Linked DNA regions of Ovis aries. The protein of the gene in region 3 interacts with the protein of the main gene of each other region in a pairwise test. Links are inferred from orthologs where the notes say so. Each region holds a gene or a part of one and is shown on either strand. Other genes may lie near its edges.

Region 1 (5,666 bases), on a different chromosome or scaffold from region 3:
ATGGCCTGGGGCCTCAGGCTTCCAGGACAAGGTCAGTCAAGCCCTAGGCCCTTGATCCCAGCAGTTGAGCTTGTTTGGTCCTTTAAGGCCATTATACAGATGAGGCAACTAAGGCCCAGAGAGTGGAAGGCCCTTGCCAAGAGCTGCAAAACCAGGACCTGAAGGCTCGTCTCCCACAGCACAATTCACGCATTTCTGAAGTTCCTATCACACTCAAGAAGGCCTATCAACAACTATTTATTTTAATCAGGCTCTTTTGCTATGTGGATGGCTCTGGCTGGGCTGAGGAGAGTGGGTGGCTGCTTCCCTTCTCCGCTGTGGACACAGGATGGGTGACTGGCCGTGAGCTTGGCCCAAGGGGTTGGGACCAATCACAGGCTAACTCCAGAGGATCTCACGCACAGGGCAGGGCAGGTTCTGAGGGAGATGTGAGAGGGACTTCCCTGGTGGTCCAGTGGTAAAGACTCTGTGCTTCCACTACAGAGGGGGGCAGTGCAATCCCTTGTCAGGGAACTCAGATCCTGCATGTCCTGCATGCTGCCAAAAAACTAGAAAAAAAAGGGGGGGAGGTATGCGAGCGCATGCTCTCCTGAGATGCACCAGGTGCTCTGCTCCCGAGGCCGCTCCATTTAAACTTTCATTTCCTCTCATGAGGGCAACTGTAGAAAGCAGCCCTGTCGGTATTCTTATTTAAAGCTAATCTGAGGCACAGTAAAACTTTCAAGACTTGCTGATCGGAATCAGGCAAAAGAAAGGTGTTCAGAACACTCTACCGGCAGGATCTAGGAGAGGTTTTTAGAAAGAAGATGTGAAAGCAAGGAAATCGTTTGATTGGCTGTAACTTAAGAGGTTGCCTTGTTTGGGAAAGCCCAGTTGGCTGTTTGTGAGTGCTAAATTTCATTTTCTCCAATTTGGGTGCTTTGGCTCTGGCCTAGGTTTAGGTTGACCTGCATCGGCTACGGAGGTGTCACAGCCTTCCCAGTCTAATGGGCTCCTTTTTCAATTACTTGAACATTCTTATTTCACGGATGAGGACACGGAGGCTCAGAGTGACGAAGTGACCTGTCCAGACCACACGACTGTTGTGGTGGAGGCTGCAACAGAGGTCACTCTGTTCAACCAGACTTTATACTGCATCCAGGGAAAACAGAGAATTGAATAAAAGAAGGAAGCGGGCGGGCGGGCCTTCCCTGGTGGTCTGGTGGTTAAGAGTCCAGCTTGCAATGTAGAGGACCCAAGTTTGATCCCTGGTTGGGGAACTAGGTTCCCACATGTGGCAGAGCACCTAACCCTACAAGCTACAACTAGAAGATGGGAGTGCCCGCGACTAAGACCCCAGGCAGCTAAATAAATAAAATTTAAATAAAAAAAGGAGGAAAGGGTGAAGGAAAGAATAAATGAAGACAAAAATGGGAAAATGAAAAGAGCCTGAATAAAAGAGTTAATACTTTTGCTTTTCATTTATTTTTGTCACACTGCAGAGCTTGTGGGATCTTAGCTCCCCAATCAGGGATTGAACCCAGGCTCTCGGCAGTGACAGTGGGCTGTCTTAACCATTGGACTGCCGGGGAATTTCCAATCTTTTAATTTCATTTTTTAAGAGAATAGTTGGTACATAGAATGATACACGTAGCATGTGAGTTATAAAACATACTAACAGAAGGAACACCCTTGAACCCACCACCATCCTAAAACAATAGAAAGTTGCCAATAGCTCGAACCTACTTATATCAGCGGTTCTTCGAGCTGGCTACACCTTGAACACACCTGAGGGGCTTAGACAACCACAGAGTGCTCGATGGGGTTTGTCTGGAGTCCGGTTTGGACATCTGGATTTTTCAGAGCTCTCCAGATGATTCTCTTGTGCAGCCAGGTTTGAGGGTGACTGGCTTATAATTCCCTTCCCTATTATATCCCTCTGATTTTCCCCGACGCTCACCTGCCTCCCTCAGGTAGCCATCATCCTGAATTTGGTGTAGTGAATGGATTCTTTTCCTTAGACAAGCGATGTCTGCGATTGAGCTCCCGCCCACCACGAGGGGGCATCGGAGAAAAACACAGACTTCTTTTCTTGCTCTGCGCGCCGAGTAATCGCGCTGCAGGAGGCTTGGCCCTCGCGGCGCTCCATCGCCGGCCCGTTGCCTCGGCAACGAGCGGGGAAACGGCCGGCGTAAGTGCAGCGCTGTCGGAGAGGGTCGCCGTGGCCCGGGCAGGGATTATTTGGGGCTTGCGGGACCTTGGGCCGGGGCAGTCTTGGGAAACTCCGGCGCGCAGAGAAACGTGAGTCGGGGGTTTGGGCTCGGTCGGGGGCCGGCGTTGGGGTCTGGACCCTCAGAGCTCTGCCGCAGTCGGCTCCGCGCTGGCGGGAAGCGCGCCCGCCGTCCCGGGACGCGATCGCGGGGCGCCCGGGGCTTCGGCTTCCAGTCCTCACTCGGCTCCCCGCGCGGCCTGGGTCCGACCCTTTCCTCTGTAATCTCTTTTGTTGTATGTGGCTGAGAGAGGGATGCGACTTGTTCAGAGAGCCTCCCAGCTTGTTGTTGATGGTTCATCTGGGGCCGGAATCTTCACTTTCCTCAATCCTCGTGCAAAGATTTATCCGCAGGCGGCCTATGGGGCAAAGAAAAATGTCTGTCAGGCCTGCCACAGTCTGAAGACAGATTTGACCTGGCAGTCTCAGGCTAAGCTTGACTCATAGACGCAGATCATTTTCCTCCCGGTTCGGAGGACTCTGAGTTTGTTTATTTGCCAGAAGCTCCTTGAGCACTGTCACAGCCAGGCACTGTGTAGACCCTGCACCTGGGGCAGCTTTTGGACCGGGAGTGGTTGGGGGGAGATGTCCGGAGAGACTGGTTCTGCTTTCGAGTCTCCGCCCGTGTCCCCAGATCGCCCCCTTGACCCGTGCAAATTGATTCTTCCCTCTGGGTGGTAGTTTCTCCATCTGTAAGAAGGAGGGATCTCCCTCCATGCTCATCCAGAACATTACCAGGTGTGACACCTGGAGATAGCAACCCACTCCAATATCCTTGCCTGGAGAATACTATGGACAGAGGAGCCTCGTGGGCTACAGTCCATGGGGTTGCAAAGAGTGGGACAGGACTTTGATTTCAGCAAGCGACTTTCATTTCACTTCACAGCCAGGGCATGTTGGTCCCAACAAGTACCATCTTGCAGTCTACAGAGCTTGGGCCCTCATCCCAGGCTAACATGAATTAGGCTCCCAGCTCCTGTTTAAATTTCCTCTGCTTCCTGGCTTTGTGATCTTCAAGTCATTTTACCTCTTTGAACTTCAGTTTCCTCAGCTGCCAAAAACAGCAGGGTGCTAGTAACAATGAAAAAGGTCATATAAGTCAAGGGCTTGGCCCACATCCGCATGCCTGCAGTTATCCTCTCTGTTACCTTAGGCAGAGCGCAGAAACCCTCCGTGTGCCAGTCCAGTGTCGTCAGCACTGGCTCCCTGTCTCTGCACTGCCCTTACTGATGTCAGGCTCACAGCTGGGTGCAGTCCAGGCTTCTTCAGCTAGATGATTTGGGGTCCTGGTAGCAAGTCATTTTTAAAATGCTGGTGCCTGGGAGCCTGCACTGAGATTTTTTTTTTTTTACTTAATTGGTCTGCCTTGGGGCCCAGGCTCTACCAGGAGATCCCAGTGTGCAGCCCAGGGTGAGGACCGGGCCTCAAAGGGGTGAGGAGCTGCAGCAGGCTCCTGTTCTTAGCGCTGCTGTTCTCCTCAGATGGCACTCCCCACGCTGCCCTCCTCCTGGTGCAGCCGGCGGCTCCCAGATCAGCAGGCCGCCCGACAGCGCCGCCAGGAGCAGGAGGCGCATCTTCGGCAGCAGTGGGACCAGAACAGCCGCTACTTCCAGATGTCCGACATCCGCAGCTCCAAACAGGCAGAGTGGAGCTCCAGGGCCTCCTACCAGCGGAGGTAACTGTGCGGTGAGCACCTTCCCTTAGGGCTGGAGGGCCACCTACTGCCGGGAGATGTGACTGACTCAAGGACCTGGGGGAGGGTGGCTGGCCGGCGTGGATACTTGCATGGAAATGTGATGATTTCCGTGGATACTCGCATGGCGATGTCTTTCCAACTGGAAACTGAAAAGAAGGTCAGCAGTGAAGTAACACATTTGACTGAAAAAGATAAGATGATGAGACGTGTATGTAGAATCCGGAAGTCCCCCGGTAGCCCCATTTCCCCAGGAGAGAACCACCGTGAACTGTCTGGTCCGTAACCTCCCGTACACTTCTTCATCTGTTTTTGTGTGTAAATATAGATACAAGCATACACCCATTTTTATAGAGAGAGATACATACGAAAACACGGAAGTTAAAAGCATGGGCTTTGAAGTCACACAGACCTAGATAGCAATTCTGACTATGGGCTTTGGAGTCGGACAGACCTAGATAGCAATTCTGACTGTGTCACTTGCTGTATGAATGAGCCTCAGTTTCCTCATCAGTGAAGTGGGGCTAAAACAGAACCTAATTTATAGGATTTATGTCATGACTACTATAAAAACCATCCAGGTTATGTAGTACATGGTAACTACTCAGATAATATTACCATGTGCATAGATACGCCTCTTGTACATTTCCTTGCAAGAACAAGATTCTATTATGCATAGTGGTTCTATTACCTGGCCTGTTCACTTTGGCTGGAGGACGCCTTCCCAGGTCACCATGTTCCATGTGTCTCAGCCTGTCACCCACACAGCCAGCCATGTAGCCCCTGTGCAGCTGGAAGCATCCAGGCTGATGGTGGCCCCTCTCGCCCAGCATGCATGCTTACCAGCGGGAGAAGATGAAGGAGGAGGGCAGGAAGCGTCTGGAGGCCCGACGGCAGAGACTCAGGCAGCTTCTGGTGGAGGAGCAGGACTTGCTGGCCAGACAACTGGAGGAGCTGAGGCTGAGCATGAACCTGAGGGAAGGGAGAATCCGGGAGCAGCACGGGAACCTGAAGGCGGCCCGAGAGGAGCAAAGGAAGCTGGTAACTCCGCGTAGCTCTTCAGCAGGGTGCGAAGCCCGAGTCCCCGGCCTGTCGGTGAGGCCACGAGGCGTCTCCCTCAGGGGCCGAGATGGCAGTTCACTACAGAGCCAGCTGAGAAAAGTGCTGACTCTGAGTCGTTGTTCGTGTGTATTTTCCAGGAGTCATCTTTATTCTCTTGGGCCCCTTAAATCATTATATCTGAGTCCCTTTTCTTTATTCTAGTTCTCTGGTCCCATGAAAGGCTGGGACTGGTGTATTTTAACTTAACTTCCAAAGTAGTCCTGTGTAGTGGTGGTCTCTAAGCTGTGTTTTTAAGCCTGCTGTATATTTTGAAGTAGATCTTTAGCATCTAGGACCCATTTGTAGCATCAGATTTTGGCCCCTTTTTATCACCATTATAAGAGTCATTTGTGGGAACTCCCTGGTGGTCCAGTGGTTAAGACTCCACGCTCACTGCTGAGTGCCCAGGTTCAATCCCTGATCACGGAACTAAGATCCCACAAGTCGTTTGGCGTAGCCAAAGAAATGAGTCATTTATCAGCACCTGATTGGTGTCTGTTGAGAGCCAGACACCTCCTGAGGCCCGAGGGAAGCCTGAAGGGCAGGTGCGGTGCTGGCTGCCAGTGGAGGAGCTCTTAGGCTCACCTGACTTCACTGTGGGTTACCTGAAACATGGATGGATTG
Region 2 (5,193 bases), on a different chromosome or scaffold from region 3:
GATGCTGGAAAAGTAAAAGAAGGAAGAATAAAGAGCAGTAGCTTCCGGGTCTCTGAGAATTCCAGTCACCGAGAGGTCTGCTTGCCCAGGGCTCACGGGGGCGGGGCGGGGCGGGGGGGTTGCGGTACTCACCCAGGTCAGTGTTGTGGCTGGAGAGAAGCTGACGGAACTTTTCCAGGCGGGTTTTCTCCCGGACGGTCATCGGGGGCGCCCCAGAAGCGTTCTGGTCTGAGATGCGGGCAACGAGCGGGATGACGGGTCGGAGAGGGAGTGACTGCTGTTTGTGGAGCGGGTTCCTCAGGCATGAGTCACCTGAGGGGTCGTTTGAAAGAGAAAGAGGACAGGCTGTGTGACGAGCACAGATCCAGAGACACTTAGACCTGACTGCTGGGCATGGGGCTCCTCCACAGCCGCGGCTGCCAGGTTGCCCAGGGCGAGGCCGCCAGCCAGTGGGTGGAAACCCAGCCGCCCTCTGTTCACTCAGGGGAAGGGCTGCGTGTTTATCATACATACCAAGGCACCTTCTGCGCAGAGACTCCAGCTACTGCAGCAAATCTGACAAATTTTTGTGACTTCAGAGGGAAAATCTATTGCTTTCTTTTTATCCCAACCTGGAACTTTTCTTGGGTGTCTAATAGCGAGTTTGGGGGTGGGGGCAATGTAGTCAAAGGCAGTATCTGCCTTTCCTTTCCTCGTCTCAGAGCATATAGAAAATGACTGCAAAAGCGCATCGCGAAAAGAAAGGTGATGGCTGCTCTCCCGCAGACCAAGGCCCCAGCTGGCTGCCCCGAGGGCTAAGAGGGCCAGTATTCCTCGCACAACTCTCACCTGTTTTTGGCTCACACATGAGAGGCTCTCTGACCTAAGGTGGGTCCTCTGTGCTTTGACATTTCTCACCAAAATGAACCGGCGTTTAGTTCTGTTGGGATATGACTGAAATAACAGGCATACGGACTCAAGCTGAACTCTATATCTGGTTCTAGACACTTCTGAACAAGATGGTAGCTAGCAGAAATGAGCAGGAGAGCGCTAACATTTACTGACTGCTTACTAAGGCACTGAGCTGGTCACAGTTACCTATGTCCTCTCACTTGACCCTTACAACATACTACAGCAGGAGTTTATCACGATTTTGAGGGAACTATAGCTCAGAGAGGTTAAGAAATTTGCAAGGGAGAGCTGAGTTATCTTGGGTCTGTCTGACGCCAAAACCCTTATTTATTTCACTCCCCCAAACAAAACTCAGTTTTAAATTCTGACCATCCTTTCATGACTGTTTTACATTCTTTACATATTTGGGCCTTAACAAGTAGTCAGCACAAGAACTAAACAGGGAATCCTTATCAACCGGCACTAGGAGGTTTACAGACTCAACGGCCACAGGGCACTTGGTCTGGATGCCTAGTGTGACATGGGGCTGAGAAAATGCAGACCACACGCTACAGAGCTGAGACTGAAGGCCGCTTCCGGTTATCAGTGACTGGCTGACCGATGCTCACAGGAGGGAACCCTGTAACAGGAGTGCTCTGGGTGGTCCTGGCTGCACAAGGGCAGCTCGTCAGGGACCATGGTGGGGCCTTCCCTCACAGCGGGACCCTCTGAAGACCCTTGGTCTCATGTGAAGATACTTTCCACAGCCAGGAGCTGTGGTCACCTGGCCAGTGGGCACTGAATGCCTGTCTGGGCACGTCACTGGGGCCCAAATCAGAGATGTGAAGTGACTGTGGAATGATTTTCCAGGCTTTACAGCCTCATTTCCGGAGCACATCCTTGTCTGAAACTGTAAAAGAAGTTCTCCGAGAACAGGAGCCAGGACACGCGCCACGGCCTGACATCCCACTTCCTTTTCACCCTTTACCACAGTCAGCTATTTTAACTCTCACTAGCATGAGGGCACTTCCCCCTCCAGCTCAGAACGACTGACTCCCATAAAATGCGTTAGGGCAACATTCGACATAGCAGTGAGAAGGCAGTGGCAGCCCACTCCAGTACTCTTGCCTGGAAAATCCCATGGACGGGGGAGCCTGGTGGGCTGCCGTCTATGGGGTGGCAAAGAGTCGGACACGACTGTAGTGACTTAGCAGCAGCAGCAGACATAGCAATGGAACTGAGGTGTCTCCAAGCATCTCATAAAACCACCATCATCTCAACCGGTTAGTGCTGCCAGTTTCCTGAAGAGAAGGTGGGCTCTCCTCCTGCCCCACCCAGACCTGGCAGGCAGGGAGCTGTGACACAGGGACTCCGCTCCTGAGGAACAGCAGAGAAACGACTTGCTGCTAGGGGCTCTTCCCCAGAACAGAGGAACGGTACCAGACATGTTTGAAATTCTGCCACTAACAACTTCAACTACATTTTGTCAGCACACTTCAACCTGACCAGGCCCAAAGAAATGTGAAGCAGCCACACCATAAGCATTCTGGACCCCAGCACAGGGAAAGGAAGGAGAGAAGGGCAGGCAACACAGGGGTGTCCAAAGTGAAGCCCAGGATCCCAGGGCCAGGCAGCCATCCAGGCAGGAGGAGCAAGCACAGCTCCTGACCAGTGAGGCCCCCTGAGGGCCCTCAGGCTCCAGCTCACTTATTTATCATCCAGTGGACAATCTAAGGGATGCCCCCCACCAGAACCTGTTTTTATTTAAAATGCGCTCTGCTGAAAAGGCAGAGCCTATGGCGGGGAGCTGGACGGACTTACTGGAATTTCTGGACAGCTGGGCGTCACTGCTGGACTTTATGACCTTGTAGCTGGCAGGTACATCGGATGTTGTTGACTGGGACCGTTCTGGTTTCACCCTCAGCTTGCTGTGGTTTTCCAGCACTTGGGCAGCAGTCGCCAAGGCAACTTTTGAGTTCAGAGTTTGGAAAGCAGGGGACGAAAAGTCCTCTTCCTCATCATCACCAATGTCCCAAGCATCACTGGTGTTCCGGGCAAACTCGTGAAAACTGGAGGCCTTCTTATTTTTCAGAGGAACTGTGCTGACTTTTGACCGTTCTTTAATGAAGCTTTAAGAAAGGAGACGCTGTTACCAAGGAACAGTCTGACATATCCAGCCACTTTCTCTTAACAGATTATCAATAGTATTACAAATTATCTCATACACAATCATTACCCTCTTCAAATAGAAAATATCCACATCCACTCCTTATCTAGAAGCGTCTAGAGCAGCACTATGCTGCAGAACCAGATGAAACAAAGAGAGCATCGCTCTCCAAATATTCCACGTGCTCCTCTGTACATCCCAGGCCCTGCACTTAGGTGAGGCTTCTGGTTCTGGCCAACGGGCTGAGGAGAGAAGTGAGGCCGTCCCTTCTGAGCCAAAGTGTAAAGAACAAGGGTGCGTTCTCCCTTTTTTTTTTTTTTTTTTTTTTTTTGCCAAACGATGTGGCATGCAGAACTCCCCCACCAAGGATCGAACCTGAGCCTCCTGCAATGGAAGTGCAGTGGGCCATCAGGAAGTCCTATGGGTGAGTTCTCCGCAAGCCTTGTTCTGCTGTGATAACTGGCGAGGCTCCAGGTGGTGGCACCTCCTTCAGCCTGGATGACAGAGCGACTAGGTGGAGCAGAGCCCGCCTTCCACAGCCACTTTACCCTCCCTTGGTCTGGAAGCATGAGTGAGAAATAAGCATCTGTTGTGTCAATCCACTGAGATTTCAGAGTTAATCTGTTACGGCAACATACCCTAAAATATTTTCTAGAGCAGGACATCGACTACTGGTAGAACAGGAGATAATTTTAGGTAGCCCACGTGTATTGTTATTAAACATTGAGGTTCAAAATGCAGAAGTTGTTCTCTTTTTGTTTTGTTGAAGTCCTGTGGCCCTTGAGGGATCCGAGTTTGACCCCACTCTATCTTTAGGATTATTTTTTAACAAAGTGAGGGCAGCCTCAGGTTCAACATTTTATAAGCAACACAATCTGGCTTAGAATTTAATTAATAAGACTGTTTAATGTTTCACTGTATTTCTAAGGTTATTTCCTATTTGGGGCAAATGATACTGGTTTTCCACTTACAGAACTAGTAAGATTTATTTTAAAAGTAAATCTAATTGAGTACATAAGTTTATTTTTTTAAGTGCATTTCATAAATAATAGTATAAAGTATTGCAAAAAAGTCATGAAGACGGTACATGACTTGAGTTTGAGAAATACTGAATTAACTTGTTGAGGAAAGAGAGCCTAGTCCCAAGAGTCAGGTAGCCGAGTCCAATTTTCCTGAACGTTTCCTCTTTTTTTTTTCGGCTGTGCCATGTGGCATGCAGGATCTTAGTTTCGCAACCAGGGACTGAACCCACACCCCCTGCAGTGGAAGCATGGAGTCTTAACCACTGAACTGCCAGGGAAGTCCCCCTGAAGTTTTCCTCTTTCTGTGAATCCCTTAAGGTCTGGTGGCCCTTATCTGGTTCCAGGGGACTATGTGGTTGGGATGTTTCTATAACTGAGTCTTATCTAACATCCTTCATACCCCAAGTAGGGAATCAAAGAATACAGCCTCATGTAAATTTACACCTGAGGACTGGAATGCAACATCATTAAAATGCCTCACCATTTCCCTCGGCAAGGCAGGGAAACTCTAGTTTAAAAACCAGGCTCCGGCAGAAGAGCTGAAGTCCCCCATTTCCAAGAGATATTCTTCCCTTTAGGTAGAGGAGTCTGGTCTAATACCTATGACACCTCCCAAGATATGTCCAACAGTCATTCTGAAAGATAACTGTTGTTAGCATTGATAAAGACAGACTGCTAACTCCCACAGCTCATCGGAATGACCCTATTACTAACACCAAAAAAGGAGTAAGATATGACAGGCATATTTTCAAACACTGGCCTCACACAGAGTAAAGGAAAACTTATCACACGAGATGCAAGAGATAACATGAGATTACACAATGTAACAGTTCAAACGTGACAGAAACGAGAAACCATTTTCCATCCACTAAATTAGCAAAGATTCAAAGACGTATCCTCTCGGTGCTGACCCAGATGTAGTGAGACCAGCTCTCTAATAGTACAGGTTGGGTGTATGTCGTACCACCTTTTGGAAAACAAATCTAGCAAAACACATACCATGAGCCTTAAAGTGACTCATAATCTCTGACCATAAGAAAATAATCAGACAAGGACCTATTGTGTAGCACATGGAACCCTGCTCAGTGTTATGTGTCAGCCTGGATGGGAGGGGGGTTTGCAGGAGAATGGATA
Region 3 (5,924 bases):
AATCTTTCTTATTTCCATCTGCAGAAAGAACTATTGATATTTTGCTTTAGATTATTTTCATTATAATAAACACTTATTTCAGTAGGTATCAAACTGAAAACCACCACTTACAATGGCTTTAAAGTCAACACTACTTAAAACTCTGACTTGACTTTACTATAGCAACAAAACACCAAAGAACATGAATAGTAAGTGTATCTTTATAAGCAGGAACAAAGGATTTCTGAACCTGGTTCTTCTTTAATACAAAATGCTTTATATAGAAGAGTTTAAAAGTAGCAAAATGGTGTAATGATTAGGCTGGGAACATGCACTAAATACTGGTGAATTATTAAATGAAAACCCAAAACCCTTCTTTCAGAATCAACTTGGGTTGTTATTGTTAACCTATTGCTAAACCAAATAATAATGTTGCTGAAGAGGCTGCTTATGATTGCTTCTCAGCTATGACTACATGGACTCTAAATAATGATGGAGACCCCTTGAAAGCAGGGAGTTTAGCACTGAAAGCTAACTTGTCTTTCTCAGTGCAATTTTTGTTCAAGCTTTTCTGGGGCAGGGGCGGAGGGTGGAGAAGTTCCCCCAGTGTTCTTAAAAAGAACGCACTAATACCAAAAGGCATAAAGTCTGGTGTGTTGGGTTTTGTGTGGACTTAAAAATCATCAATAACTTTGATTCTTCAGATCGTTCTTTTTTGTTGTTGTTTTTTGAAGAATGCTAAAGAACATTTCAATACAGTTTCCCGTTTGATTTGGAGTCAAAATAAGCTTTTGCCATGGGGAAAGTGTTAGCACTTTCAGTTACTAGTGACTATGAAAGATGAGTTTCTTGAAGGTCAGAGGCATGATTCTGGCTCTTCAGCTTCAACAAATCATCATCAGCAAATCCTAAATCCAATCATCTCTCTTTCCAAAGAGCTCTATCTGTAGTGACTTGTAAATTAAGATAGTTTTAGTTATTTTCTTTTGGCTGTGGACTAATAATACCTCTACCAGAATAAGGGCAGTTAGGGCAGAATAGTCAACCTAGTTTCTTTCTTAACCTAACAATAAAAATAGATCAGTAACATTTTACTTTTTAGTGTCCCTGGATTTAGAAGAAATGTGAGTTTACCATTCCTCTTTTATCACCTCTGAAACGACTGTTCCTTCTAAGATTACTGGCTGGAATTCCACAATAGCTGTCTTCTGTCAGCTGTACCTTCACCATTACATCAAGGCTAAGAACACTGACTTTCTGATCTGTCACCTTATTTTAGAATTTTTATGTTTTGTCTGCACGAGGATGGTAAAAGCCACAACCTACGAGCAGTATTTATTTTGTTGTATGCAGAGAACAGCTTTCACTATCCTACTGGCCATCAAGGGCTAGGGCTGCAATCTCCTCTCTCCAGGTGGAACATCATGACTCCAGATGCTTAACAGGTGATCTCTCTTTTTTAAAAAAGTATGCAAAAACGCTTGCAAATTTTTTCTCAGAAGTCGCTTCAACTGCACCTTCAGGTGGGTCTGAGGCCCACCGTTTCAGGGGCAGTACAAATTCTCAGCGATTTGGAGGTGAGGGCTCAGATATCAAGAAGAAAACAGTTAACTGCCCTGAACTTCCGATCGATCCTCGATTTCCCGGCATCAAGCAGAGCAAATCTGGGAGTCAGAAGACCAGCAGGGGTCGGCGGGGCAGCGGACCTCAGGGTCCCGGCACGCCTCGCGCCTCCCGCCCTCCCGCAACCGTCCGCTGCTCGTAGACCGTACTTCTGATTCTCACGCCCACTTAGCCCGTCCACCGGCCATGCAGCCGGCCACCCACCACAGGGGAAGCGAAGGCCACTACCTCCTCACCCCAGCGCGCCGAATGCACGGCCAGAAGCGTTTCGAAGGGAGAAGAGGGCGGGACCCTCGGCCGCACCCCTTGTCCTTTTCCCGCCTTCTTTGTTTCCTTAGGAGTCACCATTGGCTGCCTGCCTCTGATACCGGGCGAACCGCGGGCCTGCGGCGAGACGCGATTGGACGAAGTCGCCGCCGCTCGGCCGGCGGCCTGCTCGCGATTGGCCGAGGGGCCGCCGGGGGTTTGAATCGCAGCCCCGGTCGGGGAGGGTTCTGCCAAAGTGCCACGTTGGGCCCGGCTGCGGCGTGAGGAGCCGGCTCGGAGAGCCGACTCAGGAGCTCGCGCCGGGGTGCCGGCCGTTGGGGCGGTTGGGCGGCGCGAGGGAAGCCAGTCCGCGGCGTGCGCTGCGGGCCGCCCCGCGGCGGCGCCGGCGGCGGCTGTGGGCGGCTGTGGTCAGGCGTCGCGGTGGAGCCTGGGCGGCGGCGCGTCCCGCCCGAGGGCGGCTCTGGCTGAGGGCGGAGGGGCCGGGGGAGAGCCCGGGGCAGCGGCTGAGGCGGGCCGGCGGCGGCGGGGGCCGCTGCCCCCAGAAGAGCCGGCCGAGATGCTGGCGGAAAACCTGGTGGAGGAGTTTGAGATGAAGGAGGACGAGCCGTGGTACGACCACCAGGACCTCCAGCAAGGTGAGGGTGCGGTCGCCAGGCGGGGCCTGGCCAGGGCAGGGCGGCTGCCGGCTCGAGGCTTCACCTCCTGGCCGCGAAACTGTTAAAAAGTTTATTTTGCTCGGGGCCCACCGACGCCAGGATCGGGGAAGATCTGGCGCTCACCTGGCGTTGGGACTGTCGCGTCTGCTGGTCCTGCGCGGGAGGACTCCGCTGCGCGGGCCCGGGCTCCTGCACGGTAATCAGCATCCCCCATCGTCCCCGCCACTACTGCGTGTCAGGAGCTGACCGGGCGCCAGGCAGCGTTTGGAGCTCTCTCTGGGGATTAACTCATTTAATCCCCAAGGTGTTCCTCGGAGCGGAGAGGGGTGGCCCCTTACCGGGCTGTCCGCGTCGGGGAGGAACCACAGCCGGTGCTCATAGCCGGCGAGTGAGCTGCTGCAGGTGGTGGACCCGGGGTGGCAGTGCCGTGTGGCAGGAATCGCGCACATATTTGATCCGCACAGTAACTCCGTTGAGAGAGTAACTCATATTATTCCCCTTTTCCAAATGGGTAACGCGGATGCTAAAGCGGCCAAGTGACTTCCCTCAAATGTGGAAGCAAGTCTTTTTTTTTTTTTTTTTTTTTGACTGATTTTGTTGGAATTTAGTTGATTTACAATACTGTGTTAGTTTCTGCCATAGGGCAAAGTATTTTTGAATCCGCACACTCAGAATGAGGAGTCGTCCTAGTCGCTGCTCAAACCCCTATCTCTTCTTCGCCACCTGGCTTACAGCTCTTACAGTTGGTGTCAGACGGGCTGAGAGGGGGGCTACATAGGCGTAGTTTACCAGATGCCAAGTAAGTGAATGACTTGAGGGCACTTGTGCCTCACCTGCTTCCTTCACTTTGCTCCCTAGCTTTTTCACAAGAGGCATTCCTATCTTGGCCTGTCCTGGATTTCTTGTCTCCTGAGAAATGTTTTTCAGGCATCTTCTGTTCCAGCAATTCTGCGTAAATCAACTTTTTCATCTCTCAACTGGCATAAAAAGTTACCATCTCATTTAGTTGAACATTAAATGACCATGGTGTTTGTTCATGCTAACCATTGAACTTAGCCGGAGGGGAAGAATGTAGGCTCGAAAGACTCAGAAAAGAAACATAAGGAACTCTTTTGGGGGAAGGTGATTTCTTAAATCAATATATTGTGGCTGGTAGCTTAAATCAAAGTTTATATAGCCTTTATATAAGTCAAAGTTTATGCTTACATAGTCTAACCTATTCAGTGGCTGTACTGCAGTATTTGCCATCATATTCACAGCATACACAAGGCAAATTTGTCTTATGTTTTAACCTGTTTTCAGAATGCCTCAGAGGGATTGATGGCCTAGTTTGATACTTTCTCCAGAATTTATGAGGCAACCATTTTGCAATTGCAACCTTTCCCTATAAAGAAATGAAGCAGTTTGCCCTATAATCATAACTAAATAGTTTTCTTTATTGTTTTTAGAAAGTGTAGCTCTGTACAGTTTTTTTTTTTTAATCTATCTAGCACAATACTTAGCACATAATAGAAACTCAATTTTACCATTTGTTGACCTGAACTGAGGCACTCACACAGGATTATTGTTTTCATGTCTCTCTTCCACCAGGCACGTTAGTCTACGCTGCAGTTTCCCCTGTGGGAGGTTGTTAGGAACAACCACTTGTAATATTTCAACTTACTGAGGAGCAAATGCAACATATAGAGGTTAGACGTGGAACTCTCTAACCTCTGATTGAAATCAGTCATCAGGTGTGCAGATGTAATGAAATCTTGAAGCGCACAGGTCCAAACTTCCTGTGCCAGTTTCCGTTTGGAATTTGGTCTGTTCTTTTCAGAGGACTTTTACATTTGTTATCACCATGGACTTTGACATAACCCTGTGTGTCATAACCAAGTGTGTGGGGTAGGAATAGATGTGAAATTCCAACAGTCACAACTGTGAATTTGGCCTGTGAAAGAATGAAGGCTTCAGTGTGAATAGAAGGGTCTCTTTGTCCCACTCTCATTACATTATATGTTAACTCCTAAACTTCTAATGGATCGTTTGTTAATTTTTCAAAAATTGTATTTATTCTGTGCCAGGTGTTCATTGAGGCATTAGGACTACAGTGCCTGTCCACAGGACAGACAGGATCCTACTCATTTACTAGGAATCTGTTGACTGGAGGTGCTGCCTTCTGGTGTGCCCACTACAGTGCTTGGCAGTGGGTGGGCCCTCGCCCTCCCTAGATAATTTTGCTGCTGTGTAAGGTTTGGGAGCAAGTCTGTCCTCTTGGGCTGATAAGCAGATCTAGTGGGATTTTATCAGGTGCAGACACATGTCTGTTCATTTTTTAACATCCTCACTATTAATTTCACTGAGAGCCTTACTTGAAGAGAGTTGCTAAAACAGTTTTCTGAGATCCTGTGCTCAGTCATAGAACTACAATTTTTTTTTCTTTAGCAATAGAAGCATTACTTAAGTAGATTGAATCTCTTTACCAAAGTTTGCTTGGGGCATTCTTTGTAAAAATTAAAATTGTTGAAAGTTTCTAACCTCAGAAGGCTGTGGTCTACCATTCATACCTTGTTAGAAACGTGAAACTGTGCAGGCAGAAGAAGAAAACCCGTTGCTTTTATAAAACACTTTCAAGAGAGTGTCTTTTGTCAGAGGGCTGAGTTGACAAAGTAAGAATACTGACTGTGATCTCTGTGAGTAAGATCCTTTCTGGGACAGCAGGAGCCTTCTCTGTAGGTAATGATGGTGCTTGCTTTGAAATGTGCCCCTGAGAACAAGGTGGAAAGACTTCAGAGACTGGGTTTTCTTTTAGACCAGCTGCCGTTGTAATTGTCGTTTGGCGAGCTGTGCAAGCTTAGAGTAAGGATTCAGGTTTCTACTGTATAGATCAGCAAATGAAATCTTAGTTTAAATTAAGATTTCTACTTTATAAGATGAGTACCTTTTTCATATGAGCAATGAATTTGCTGAATCACTGTTTGGAGGGTCATTAAAACTGACACCGTCATTTTTCTTGATGTTTATATTCAGATTTTTTGCTTTCCCAATTATAGTAACATCGGCAACAGGAGTTACACAGAAGCATCACCAGATGACGCATTTGGTTTTGTAGTAGGAAAAACTTTCAGCCTTAACGTTATTGAATGAATGCTAGAGACTACATCTAACATGGGAATATGCCATCCTCTTTAAAGAAAAAAAAAACTGAAGAAAAATGTAAGAGCAGTGAAATTTAAAGATTTCAGAATTCTGGAAGGAAGATCTTTTTTAAAAATCACCTGACTACTAGAGTTAATTTTTTACCTAGGGCATAGGGCTGAGTAGACTATCTGTTTAAAGCTAATAGTTTATATTGTTAAAATAGATTATTATCACTTGCAAAGACTGATTAGTGGAAGAATATGAAACATGAAGGTA
Region 4 (5,929 bases), on a different chromosome or scaffold from region 3:
CCCCAAAGATGTGCAAGGCTGTGTAGGCGTCAGCGGGTGTGGCTGTGGTTAAGTCTGTGACCTTCAGGGTGCTGGCATAACTGAGTGTGTCTCCCCAGGTGCCAGTGTAACTGTGAGATGTGAGGTGTTAGAATGCCTCTGTGAGATTCTGGGTGATGGGGATGGCTCTGTGCACGTCTGCAACTGTCAGCAGAACTGAGCATTCAGATCTCCTGGCGCTGGTGTGACAGCATCCGAGTGCTGGAACAGCTGGACATGTATGTCTCTGGACAGCTCTGTGTCAATCTCCAGAGAGTGGTATGACCATCAGAGGCACTCTGGGTACAGCTGTGACAGGATGAGGTTTTGAGCGTTGGCTGAACTCTTTCATTATCTTCAAGTGTTGATCCAATAGTGTTGCTGCTGCTGCTAAGTTGCTTCAGTCGTGTCCAACTCTGTGCGACCCCACAGACGGCAGCCCACCAGGCTCCTCCGTCCCTGGGATTCTCCAGGCAAGAACACTGGAGTGGGTTGCCATTGCCTTCTCCAAGGCATGAAAGTGAAAAGTGAAAGTGAAGTCGCTCAGTCGTGTCCGACTCTTAGCGACCTCATGGACTGCAGCCTACCAGGCTCCTCCATCCATAGGATTTTCCAGGCAAGAGTACTGGAGTGGGGTGCCATTGCCTTCTCCGTCTGATAGTGTTAGCCTCCAGCTATTGACACACCAAAGAGGTGTGTGGGTGTTGGGCTAAGTGATGCTGAGTCTCAGGTCTTGTCCAGTTGACTGTGTTAAGTATCAGGCTGTTTATGGGTTGGTAAACTCCTGTGGCAGCGGCTCTGTGTGTCTGAATCTCTGGGTGTTGCTGTGAGCGTGTGTGAGTCCTCAGGTTTTGTGTGTGTGTTGGTGTGATTGCGTATGCATTTATCTGGGCACTGGCTGGCAGTATGGACGTCTCTGGGTATTCACAGAATAATGCTGCTACTGTTTAGTCACTCAGTCACGTCCGACTGTTTAGCAACCCATGGAGCGTAGACGGCCAGGCTCCTCTGTCCATGAGATTTCCCAGGCCAAGAATACTGGAGCGGGTTGCCATTCCCTTCTCTGGGGGATCTTCTCGACCCAGGGATCGAACCCACATCTCCTGCACTGCAGGCAGATTCTGTACCGCTGAGCCACAGGGTGGGCCCTCAGAGTAGTCTGGGTGCTGGCGTGACTGTGTGTGAGGGTCTCTGGCTACTGATGTGATGTGTGTTACATCTTTTAGTTGTAAGATGAAAAAGTTCTGCAGATTCCTTGCACAAAAATGTGAAAATACTCAACACCACTGAGCTGTATGCTTAAAAATGATACGTTTTCTGTAATGTGTTTTTTTCCAAAACGTTTTATTTTATATTGGAATATAGGTGATTAAGGGACTTCCCTGGTGGCTCAGTGGTAAAGAATCTGCCTGTTAAGCAGGAGATGCAGGTTCAATCCCTGGGTTGGGAAGATACCCTGGAGAAAGAAATGGCAACCTACTCCAGTCTTCTTGCTGAAAAATCCCATGGACAGAGGGGCCTAGCAGGCTGCAGTCCATGGGGTCACAAACATGGGGTCTAAACGGAAGCAGTAACAACAGCCAACTAACAACGCTGTTATACTCTCAGGTGTTGTGTTTTTTTAATCACAATTAAAAAAATTTTTTAATCAGTTGGAGCCTATAGGTGTTGTCTAGGTGTGGGTGTGATTGTGACTGTGACTGTGGATATTTGTGTGATACCGTGTAAACCCTTTGGTGTTGTCCAGGTGTGGGTGTGACTGTGACTCTGGATATTGGTGTGATACCGTGTAAGCCCTTTGGTGTTGTCCAGATGTGGGTGTGACTGTGACTCTGGATATTGGTGTGATACCGTGTAAGCCCTTTGGTGTTGTCCGGGTGTGGGTGTGACTGTGAGTCTGGATATTGGTGTGATACCGTGTAAGCCTTTGGTGTTGCCCAGCTGTGGGTGTGACTGTGTGTACCTTTCCCTGAGTGTTGGTTTGGGCCTTTTGTCTGCCTGTATTGGGGCCTCCCAGGTGGCACTACTGGTAAAGAATCCGCCTGCCAATGCAGCAGACGCAAGAGATGCAGGTTCAGTCCTGGGTCGTGAAGATGCCCTGGCGAAGGAAATGGCAATCCACTCCAGTATTCTTGCCTGGGGAATTCCACTGGACAGAGGAGCCTGGCGGGCCACAGTCCGCAGGGTCACACAGAGTTGGACACGACTGAGCACTTGTCAGCAGTGATAGCAGCCACCTGCATTTTCAGGTTGGAAGCTGCCGTGACCGAGTGTGTCTCCCTGGGAGGCAGTGGCAATGGGCTGGCCGGCCGCACCCTGGGACACAGTGGGTGAGCCCTGGGCAGTGGAGGCCCCCAGTCCCGCATCCCCCACCCCCCAGCCCAGGGAAGCCTGGCTTACCGTGCACGCCCACCGCGGGGTCGGGCAGCACCACGTGGGCATGCAGCTCCTGCAGCTGCTGGTGCAGCAGGTCAAGCCTGCGTGAGGAGCCGCGCAGCACCAGCTCCACGGGACCGAGGTTACGGCCCAGGTCAGTGGTGGCTCGCCGCAGGTTCTCTGCACCCTCCTTCAGCTTCAGCTCCTTACGGATCTCCCGCCGCAGACGCTCCCGCTCCAGCTCCAGCTGCTGCTGTACCCCAGGGGCTGCCAGGTCGGCACCTGCCAGGCCCAGCTGCTCCAGCAGGGACCAGCTGCGTGGCTCACTCTGCGGGGGACGGAGCAGGGTCAGTGGGGCCAGAGCGGCTCTGGCAGTGCAGACCACATTCAGCTGACCTGGCCCGGCCTCCTCCTGGGGGGGGACTACTGACACAGGCCCTGCTCCATGTCCTCCGACAGTCCCCCAAAACTGGGAGGTGAGACAAGGCCCTGTGCCTGCTTCCTGACACCTCCAAACTGTGAGGTCCCAAGGGCAGGGCCTTCTCCTTGCCTGTCACCTCAGACAAGAGGACCACAGGTACACTTCAGTCTTCCCTCACTGTCCTCATGCAGTGGGATCCTGCAGGGCAGATTCCATTGCCCCATCACTGGGTCCCCACAGCTCGGGGTCCCCAAGGTCAGGCCCTAGCTCTCCTTCCACTGTCCTCCCAAATTAGGGGGGCCCAAGAACAGGCTTTGTCTCCCTCTGTTGCCCCCAAATGACCAGGTCCTGAGGGGAGACCCCCTCTCCCCTCTGCTGCCCCCCTAAACTAGGAGGTCCCAAAGGCAGGCCCCATCTCTGCTCCCTTATGCCCCACGTTAGGAGGGCCTGAGGGCAGCTTTCATCTTCCTTCTGCTGCTCCCCAAATGAGGAAGTATCAAGGGCAGGCCTGTGATGCCCCCCAGACCACAAGGTTGGGGTTCCAAGAGCAAGTTCCTTCTCCTCTTGGCTGTACCCTTGAACTAGGAGGACCTAGGGACAGGCCTCATCTATTCCCTGCTGTAACCCCAAACTAGGAGGACCCAGGGCCAGGCCTTGTCTATTCCCTGCGGTAACCCCAAACCAGGAGGGCCTGGAGACAGGTTTTGTCTGTTCCCTGCTGTACCCCCTAACTTGGAGATCCGGGGGCCAAGCGCCATCTCCCCTCCTTTTGTCATCTACAACTGGGACCCCAAAGAAAAGAGCACTGTTCCCTTCCTCCTCTATCCCCCCAACCTGGAAGCTCAAAGGGCCCCAAACAGTTTCATCTTTCAAACAGAAAACTCCAAAGCCAGCATCCCACCTCCTCTCCTCAGTCCAAAACCAAGCGGTACCGAGGGCAGGGCCCCTCCGGCCTGTGCCACTTGGGGTCCTCTTCTGCTGCCCCTCCCCCACAAGGACCCCAGCCCCCACCTCCAGCTCCGGGTCCAAAGGGGGATCAGCCTCCGCCATCCTGGGCCCCGGCTGAGGGCCCCGCCCTCTTCCTGAACCTCAGCCCTGCCAGGGCCTCTCGCCTGCTACTTCCTCTTTCCTGCTGGCTCCCAGCAACCCCTGCGAAGGCCAGCTCTGGGGCTCTGGGGCATCAAGAGCACCTTCCTCTCAGCCCCCACTCGAGGGCTGAGCCTGCTTCTCTGGGGTCATCCCAGGGGTGGCCCCTCTGCTCCCTGTCCTGAGGATGCCCAAGGTGTACGCAGCAGGCACACACACACGGGCCCGCTAGTGTGGACATGAAGAACAGCCTTCCCCACATATAGCTTCCCTACAACACACTTATACACCTACAGGCATCACAGGCTGGCCAGTGTGTGCCCACCCCCCACCCCCTGTATATACTTATATACACCAACACCCACAAGTGCTTACATGGGCGGGCCAGCCCCTTTCCTGTCCCAACTTCCGGCTTCTTCTCAGCTTGGTTGCCTGCTGCTGCTGACCACAGCTTGGAGGCCTGGGGGCCCGGCCGGCCCTGCGGTACCTCCCTGAGGCCCACATCATGAGGAGACAGCTCTGCAGGGCTGGAGTACCAGTGTCTCCACTTAAGCTCAAGTATGATTAAGAACCATGGAGGTTACTACAAGCTGCACACCAGGTCAACTAACGCCATTCCAGGAGGTGCTACTATCACTCCGTTTTCCAGATGAGGAAACCGAGGCCTGGGGCGGTGACCTAACTTGCCCAAAGCCTCATAGCCAGCAGGAGACAGAACTAAGATTTCCAACAAGAGTGCCCAGAATCAGAGCTAGTTGTCAGCCAGGCAGGAAGAGCCCCGCATATATTATCTGCCGCCACGGTGAGACCCCATTTCAGAGATGAGGAAAGTCAGGGTTCACTCTCGATCAACTTCAAGGGCAGCTGCCCCCAGAGAAGATTTACTTCAGGCCTAAAGTGTCACTCCCATGATCCTACTGACCCCTCAATTTTATCCTGAGCAGCTGCCATATTTCCCCTCCTACTTTACAGGTGAGGAGACTGAGCCTCAGAGGGATGGCAGCAGCAGTTCTCAATGGCGGAGGGGATTGCCAACACTCCCACCTCACTTCTGGGGGCAGCTGGCAATATCCAGAGCCATTCTGGGTTGGTTGTCATAACTGGGGCTGCTACTAGGCTCTATGGGGTTGAGTTCATGGAAACTGCTTGACATTCCACTGTAAACACGAGAGCCTCCACCTCCAAGAATGATTCAGCCCCAAATGTCAATAGTGCTGAGCTTTAGAAACCCTGGATTAAAGGACACAGACTCACACCCTGAGCTGCTGGCCATGACCACTGGTAAGGATTTCACAGCAGCCCTACCTGCAAGGGGCTGACCTGGTCTACGTCCTTCCTCACCGTGAAAACTCTCTTGGCTACATTTTTTTTTTTTTTTCAATTTTGACGGCAGAAACCAAGGCTCAAAGAGGGAATGGCGCTGGGCCTAGGACACACTGTGACGAAGTGGCAGCTCTGGAATTTACACCCAGGGTCACCTCCTACCACCTGCTATCAACCAGGTCCCACCGGCCACCCAGCCCCACCCTGTCCCCAGCAGGCAGAGCAGCGGTGCAGCCAGGAGCGGGGCCAGCTTGAATGAGGGGAGTCCGGGTTTGGGGGGAGGAGCAGAATCCCTCAGCCCCACCTCCTCCAGCAGCTGAGGGATGAGAATATGCAAAGGAGGGAGAGAGGGAGGCTGGGCCTCCCGGGTTCTCCTTCCTTGGATGACTCACTCCTATCCAGGGCAGGGGTCACCTGAGGGCCAACGAGATGAACCCATGAATCAGGAGCCTGGCCTGGCCTTGGGGAATCCCCAACACCCTCCAAGAAGCAGAAAACACCTCCCCTGCCCCAGGTCCAGAGGGTCCACTTCTCAGAAATTCCCTCTTCCTAGAGTGACCAGGGATCTAGACCCCATGTCCGGAGATTTCAATGCATTGGGCGTTTCTGGAATCCGGACAGGACATCCGTTTGCCGGACACAGAACAGACAGGCACACACACTGGGACAGACAGAGGGACAGGGGTAGCAGACCCAAGCAGCCAC
Region 5 (5,843 bases), on a different chromosome or scaffold from region 3:
ATGGGAAAACATCTCCTGGATCATAATAAACTAGTGAGACAGGCACTCCAGAGAATTTTAGATTATCAACAGGGCCTGATCCAAAAATAACACATTGGGTGGCCTATCAACATAATCTTTGCCTGATCTAGGAATGAACCTTCCTAGCACCAAGGGACAAAAACTGGTCATGAAATGACTCCCAAATGTTGGTCAAATTTATGACTTAGAGGAGGCACTGTGGACAAAGAATATCACCTGCTGTATCAGTAAACAAAGGATGTTGTGGCCATCAGGCTCTCAGCTACTGCAGCCGTCCCTGACTGTGTACTCTGAAGGCATTCAGGATGGAGAAACGCAGGACACTGATAGATAGATAGTGGAGATGCGTATCAAAGGAATGATTTCAATGAGCCCAAACTCTTACATCTTCCCATACACAGAAAAGCACTAAATTCATTAACTTGAGATATATTTTTTTAATTAGCAGTAATCTTTTGATGTTCCAACTACCTATTTTGTGTGTTTCAGCTTGTTTGTTTTTTTGCAAAAACTCCTATATATCCTGGCTTCTACAGAGCTGTCCCTCAGAGCTATCTTAAGAGGCTGTCTCCTAAGCGCTCCCTGTGCCTGCTGAGTAAAACACAATCCTCAACCTTTTAGGTTGTGCATTTTTTTTCAGTCAACAGTATTTACACATTAGGTGTCATAAAACATGCACCATAACAGAAACTTTAAATTCCAATTATTTAATACATGGTGGACAAATCTGACAAAATTCTACTTTTTTGAAATTTACACAATACCCGTGAATTTGCAATATGTACACTTGTTTATTCTAGAACCAAAATTTAAATAAACTACAGAAAAAATTAAGTCAGTCTTGAGAGATATCTTGGAGTAAACTTTTTTTTAACTGTTTTTAAGGAAAACAAACAAAAACCGTCCAATGACATCATTCTACTTTTTTTCTAAGGTGAAAGGGGAGGTAATGAGGTATTTTACCAAATCATCATGATGGTTTTAGGGCAACCATAACACGATACGCTGTAGAGTCAATTTTAGACAACACAGAAAAATTCCCGGCTCCAGAGATAACCTGATGACTTGGGTACCATATAAATGTCAACGTGACAGAACAGAGTTCAAATTCTTAAGAAAGGAGTAGGACGGCTGCAAGACGCAAGTCAGGAGAGGACCAAGGAGAAAATCTGTGTAATAGCTAATTTACCCATTTTCCAACAAGGCTGTTGCAAGTCTAGGACAACATCTGGGCTTTGGGAGGAGGGTCAGCACCAGGGTTCGGGGAAGATTCCGCTCGGGAGCCGCGTTGACAAGTTTCCTCCGCCCGTGACCTCTGCCCTAGTTGTCAACTTTTTCAACAGGGACAAGCCCGGGGAGGAAACCAGGATCCACCTGGCGCTGATCGCGCGCCCTTGCCCGAGTTCTTCCCTAGCGAGGCGAGCCCGGACTGCCCCGCGACCTTGCTCTGTCAACCCGCGCCCGCAGACCCCGCTCACCCGGGCAGGCCAATCTGGCCAGCAGCACCTGCATGTTCACAGCAGACAGACAGGACGCTGGCCGACGCCGGGGAGGAGGTTGGGCTTGGCTCGTACGGGCGCGGGACCTCTAAACCACTGGGGGCGCCATCGCCGGCCGAGACGCAAGCAGTCACCACCTGCCTGCTCCGCGGAACGCTCCAGCTTCACCACGCTCCCGCCTGTCTTGCTATGCGCGGGCGCCCCGAGTGACGCGACGCGACGCCCGCAGCGTTTCCGGGTCACGGACCGAAGGGGCACGGGAAGGGACTCAAAGTCCCAGCGCCGCCCGCGGCTGCAGGCTGCACGGCCTCTCACCCGGCGTGCGCTGAGAGCGCCGGAATGGTTGGGGAGTGGGGGGCGGGGGGACCACAAATCCCAGGATGAATCGCGCGCAGAGCCCCAAGACTGTGAGGCGTAGCGGCGCGCACGGCACCTTGGGAGCTGTGGTCTTCTGTTCCGGCGTCTGGGAACCCGTTGGGAGGTTTTCCCCCGGAGCGGAGAGTAGCCTCAGGCGAACTCATTGGCATCTGATTGGCTGTCCCGAGAAAGTGACACGGCTTCGCGGTCCCCGGCGGAGAGCCGAGAGGAGGCGGGCCCGCTGGGCTTTGGGCGCGAGCGGTTGAAAGACGGTTGGTATTGGTTCGGCCTCCCAAGTCCGGTCCAGTCGCCCAGCCGCGCTCCATGGCGAACCCTGAAGGGCTGCAGGTTTCCCCGCCGCCGCCGCCCCCTTCTTCTCCTTCTTCTCCAGACACGTCTTCAGCATCTTCCCCCGGCGCCCCAGGGGGTTTGGGCTGGCCTGTTCCGAGCAGGAGCAGCGGCCGACTGGTGGACCCGCTGGAAGAGGTGGAGCTGCAGATCGGAGACGTGAGTGCGGCCGGCGGGTCCGGGCCGTGTCCCGCACGTATTCAAGAGCCGCGTCGGGAGTCCAGGGCATCCCTCTCCCGCCGCGCCCGCGCGGGGTCTTTGTGCCTGGAGGTCTGGTTCCGCTCTCGCGGTGTAACCCGAAACGGCGCAGTTCACAAACCCACCGCCCTGCCTCGTCTGCGGGGCTGAGGGCCAGACAGGGATTCCTCTGCTGGGACTTGATCCGTCTCCCTCCCCCTCGCCCTGTTTAGTTGGCCGCCTGCCCAGAGCCTGCTGGGTAGGCGATGATTATTCTGAGCGGACCCAGTTAGGATGGGTTAGTCCCCGCCCCGTGGTCCAGATTGCTACCCCTAACAATACAAAGACCCGTCCCTCTGATGGCCGGGATTCCTGGTCTGGACGGCTTCTGTTGAGTCTCCAGTTAGTAGACGCGCGCGTACACTCACAGCCACCCAGCTACACAGTCGGGTTTCTCGATTTAAGGTCAAGTGAATGAAGTCTGTAGGGTGTCGTCTTAACCGGGAGATCCTCCTGTGCAGGTTGCAAACCGCGGGGTGAACTCCTTTATTCTCTCATTCCTCAGCAAGTATTTGTTGTTTTAAAAAGATGGCTGAAATGCTGACACAGCTTCATCTTTGCTGAACCAGGCTGTTCCAAATGAGCGTGTAGAATGCAGTGCTGATATGTTTGTTACCCAGGAACAGTGTTATTTTATACGGTGGGTGAAGAAAGCATTTGATCAAGAAATGAGTTTTCCACCAAGGTTGCAGTGTTTTCTGCATGGGTGTTGTTTTTGTTGGTGTTAATTGTGAGCTCAGAGTGTCTGTTCTTTGGTTCATACGGTTTCATGGTCTGCAGTGTTAAACAGATGAAAATAGCGGAGCAAGTCGCTCCCTCCCATCAGTAAGAGCTGTATCATAAGTCCTTCAAATACTTCTTGGTGTCAACGGGCTCAAGTCGTCTTGTTGAGCTAAATGAGACTAGTGTATTATCACCCGAAAAAGATGCTGACTGGTCATGTCTCATACATAATGTATATCTTTCTAGTAGACAGATGTCCTCAAAGCTTACTTAATGTAGACAATTTTTTTAGGTTCCACTAAAGAGCTGGCATGTCGTAGTTTGAAGATTTTTAACTTTTTAAAGAAAAGAACTTGGGCATTGGATTCTAAGCTATTTTCAGCCAGGTTCATAAAATAGGGAGAGAATTTTAAAAATAAACATATAGTTTTACTTTTTTTTTTTTTTTTTTAATTTTCAGGCAGCATTTTCATTAACCAAACTTCTGGAAGCCACATCTGCAGTATCAGCTCAAGTGGAAGAGCTTGCCTTCAAATGTACAGAAAATGCACGTTTCCTTAAAACATGGCGGGACCTCTTGAAAGAAGGCTATGATTCCTTGAAGCCTGATGACTGACTTGACTGTAATAATGCATACCTCCTCATCTATGATGTTTGCGCATGTACCATGGAGACTGGATGATCGCACGGTTCTGGATACTTAAAGATGAAAATTTTCTTGGTTTTCTTCATTTTGTGAAAACAGAATGCTGATGTTATTTTTGAGGCTGATTCATATTTTTTTATCTTTAAACACTTTCTGTTCTCTGAACTTTCAAAGACTCTTTTATGAAAGTTAATCAGTAGGTAATAATGCCACAGTGTTGCCAGTAGCAAACGAGGTGAACCATTATGCTCTTCTATTTGCAAGAAGATGCCAAGAAGAGCAGAATTTGAAATTGAGCTTTATTTATGGCCCAAAGAAAGTAAACTTTCATGTTACCAATGTTAGATTTAGCTCCACTGGGCTAAGTTCCCTAGAACCAATGATTGTGTCTTAGTTGCTTACATATTTCCAGCAACCTAAAACACTGTTACACAACAGTCACTAAATGTTTGTTAAATAAGAGTTGACAGCATAATTAAAAGCTGCTTTTTCTTTTAACTTTAGCGTAAAGATGTTAATTGTTTCTTGAAAAAGTATTTGAGTCAGAACTTCACTGACTTTAAGGAAAATGTTATCTTTCTTTTTTTTAACAGGAATTTGAACTTTGATAACTTTTAAAAACACATGATAAATATTTTTCACCCCTCTGTGATGCTTTTCAAAAAAACTTTTACTGAAGCCTGTCTTGAAAAAATACGTATTTTTTTCCCCTCTATTTCTGAGGTTAACTGCTTTTATGGATATTTCTTATATTCACTGTTTTGTATGTTTAATTGTTCTCCTTAAAGTGCCTTATCAAAATTATGGCTTTGTAGTATTACTTTTGGAGCTTGGCAGGTAATAATTTTAAATTCTGAGTGTAATAATTCCAAACAAGTACTTTAAAAAAATGCATCAAATTTAAATGATGTAATTGTTTTCATATTATTTGATCTTCATGACAATGCTCTGTTTTACTTGTCTCATATGTTGTGCACACGCGCTCTCTTTTGGTGAGTTTGTGTCATATGTGTCGGTGATTAAGCCAACTAATTCTCTGTTGTGTGACTTCTGGACATATCTGATGCAGTGTCTTAATTCTTGTAGCTGTGGAGGTATGCACAGAACAACACTTCCAAGCCCCACAATGGGCCTGTGAAAGGGGACACATGGATGGGCAAAGGATAGTTTTATTTAGCATATTAAGTCATAGTTCTTGATTAATTTTTTATGTTAAAGATAACACTTGTGGTGTGTTGCTATACCAAAGAGATGCTTATTTTGATGTTAGAAAAATATTTTTCTTTGGTGTCATGAAAATTGCAATTTTTAAAATCTATAAAAATAAGCTTGTTCAAAGCAAATGTTATTTTCATTTCTTCAGGTTCCTTATTTTAAAACTTTACTGAAATATTTCAAACCTAAGAGGAAAGGTGAATCACTTAAAGAACACCCATGTATTTCCACCATGCAGATTTAATAAATGTTAGCATTTGGTTATGTTTTCTTTAGATCTATGAATATATTAATATGTAAGTGTTAGATTCATTTGAAACTTATTTTATTACCTTTTGATTCCATCCCTTTCTCCCCGGAGATAACCTCTGTCCTAGAGGGATTGCATATTCTAGTTTGTGTTTTTATGTTTTTAACGCACACATGTGTTACCAAAACACTACAAAGTACTGTCTTGAAACTAATATTATTGACTGTATGTCAAATAAAAAAATACTATTTTCTGTGTGTAGTAACCAGCCTCCAGAGGGCCCCAATGGTCTTCTGATACTCATTTCTTATAGATAGTCCCCAACACTGAATAGTGCTGCCTCGTGTAAGTACAGGATATTGAGGAAATGCGGTGTGATTTCGCAGGTGATACCTTTTGCCCAATTTTCTGTTTTGTCTTTTCCTTATGGATTTATAGCTATTACATATTTTCGATACTACATAATGCTCTGTTATGTATGTTTCAACTGTCTTGAAGTCTGTGATGTATCCTTGTATTTGATTATAGAATCTTCTTAAATAAACAC

The links.
Region 1: the proteins of CDR2 (region 3) and TCHP interact in binary tests that used the Homo sapiens proteins (3 or more experiments, as listed by UniProt). The two-hybrid records come from large-scale screens. The link is inferred for Ovis aries from reciprocal best matches to the Homo sapiens genes CDR2 and TCHP.
Region 2: the proteins of CDR2 (region 3) and TBC1D22B interact in binary tests that used the Homo sapiens proteins (3 or more experiments, as listed by UniProt). The link is inferred for Ovis aries from reciprocal best matches to the Homo sapiens genes CDR2 and TBC1D22B.
Region 4: the proteins of CDR2 (region 3) and PKN1 interact in binary tests that used the Homo sapiens proteins (3 or more experiments, as listed by UniProt). The link is inferred for Ovis aries from reciprocal best matches to the Homo sapiens genes CDR2 and PKN1.
Region 5: the proteins of CDR2 (region 3) and C17H4orf46 interact in binary tests that used the Homo sapiens proteins (3 or more experiments, as listed by UniProt). The two-hybrid records come from large-scale screens. The link is inferred for Ovis aries from reciprocal best matches to the Homo sapiens genes CDR2 and C4orf46.

What each region holds. Positions count from the first base shown.
Region 1 is NC_056070.1:63,503,416-63,509,081, reverse strand, and holds the start of TCHP (trichoplein keratin filament-binding protein), read left to right. Parts: upstream 1-2,167; 5' UTR 2,168-2,280; intron 2,281-3,729; coding exon 3,730-3,923; exon of another isoform or gene 3,924-3,934; intron 3,935-4,771; coding exon 4,772-4,982; intron 4,983-5,666. UniProt on the Homo sapiens protein: Tumor suppressor which has the ability to inhibit cell growth and be pro-apoptotic during cell stress. Inhibits cell growth in bladder and prostate cancer cells by a down-regulation of HSPB1 by inhibiting its phosphorylation.
Region 2 is NC_056073.1:11,234,201-11,239,393, reverse strand, and holds part of TBC1D22B (TBC1 domain family member 22B), read right to left. Parts: intron 3,000-5,193; coding exon 2,692-2,999; intron 313-2,691; coding exon 133-312; intron 60-132; exon of another isoform or gene 1-59. UniProt on the Homo sapiens protein: May act as a GTPase-activating protein for Rab family protein(s).
Region 3 is NC_056077.1:20,582,159-20,588,082, reverse strand, and holds the start of CDR2 (cerebellar degeneration-related protein 2), read left to right. Parts: upstream 1-2,098; 5' UTR 2,099-2,425; coding exon 2,426-2,504; intron 2,505-2,648; coding exon of another isoform or gene 2,649-2,732; exon of another isoform or gene 2,733-5,924.
Region 4 is NC_056058.1:9,645,450-9,651,378, forward strand, and holds the start of PKN1 (serine/threonine-protein kinase N1), read right to left. Parts: upstream 3,880-5,929; 5' UTR 3,866-3,879; coding exon 3,827-3,865; exon of another isoform or gene 3,717-3,826; intron 2,723-3,716; coding exon 2,419-2,722; intron 1-2,418. UniProt on the Homo sapiens protein: PKC-related serine/threonine-protein kinase involved in various processes such as regulation of the intermediate filaments of the actin cytoskeleton, cell migration, tumor cell invasion and transcription regulation.
Region 5 is NC_056070.1:40,563,530-40,569,372, forward strand, and holds the start of C17H4orf46 (renal cancer differentiation gene 1 protein), read left to right. Parts: upstream 1-1,963; 5' UTR 1,964-2,201; coding exon 2,202-2,384; intron 2,385-3,645; coding exon 3,646-3,801; 3' UTR 3,802-5,843. Other genes in the region: ETFDH (electron transfer flavoprotein-ubiquinone oxidoreductase, mitochondrial), read right to left, coding at 1,500-1,533.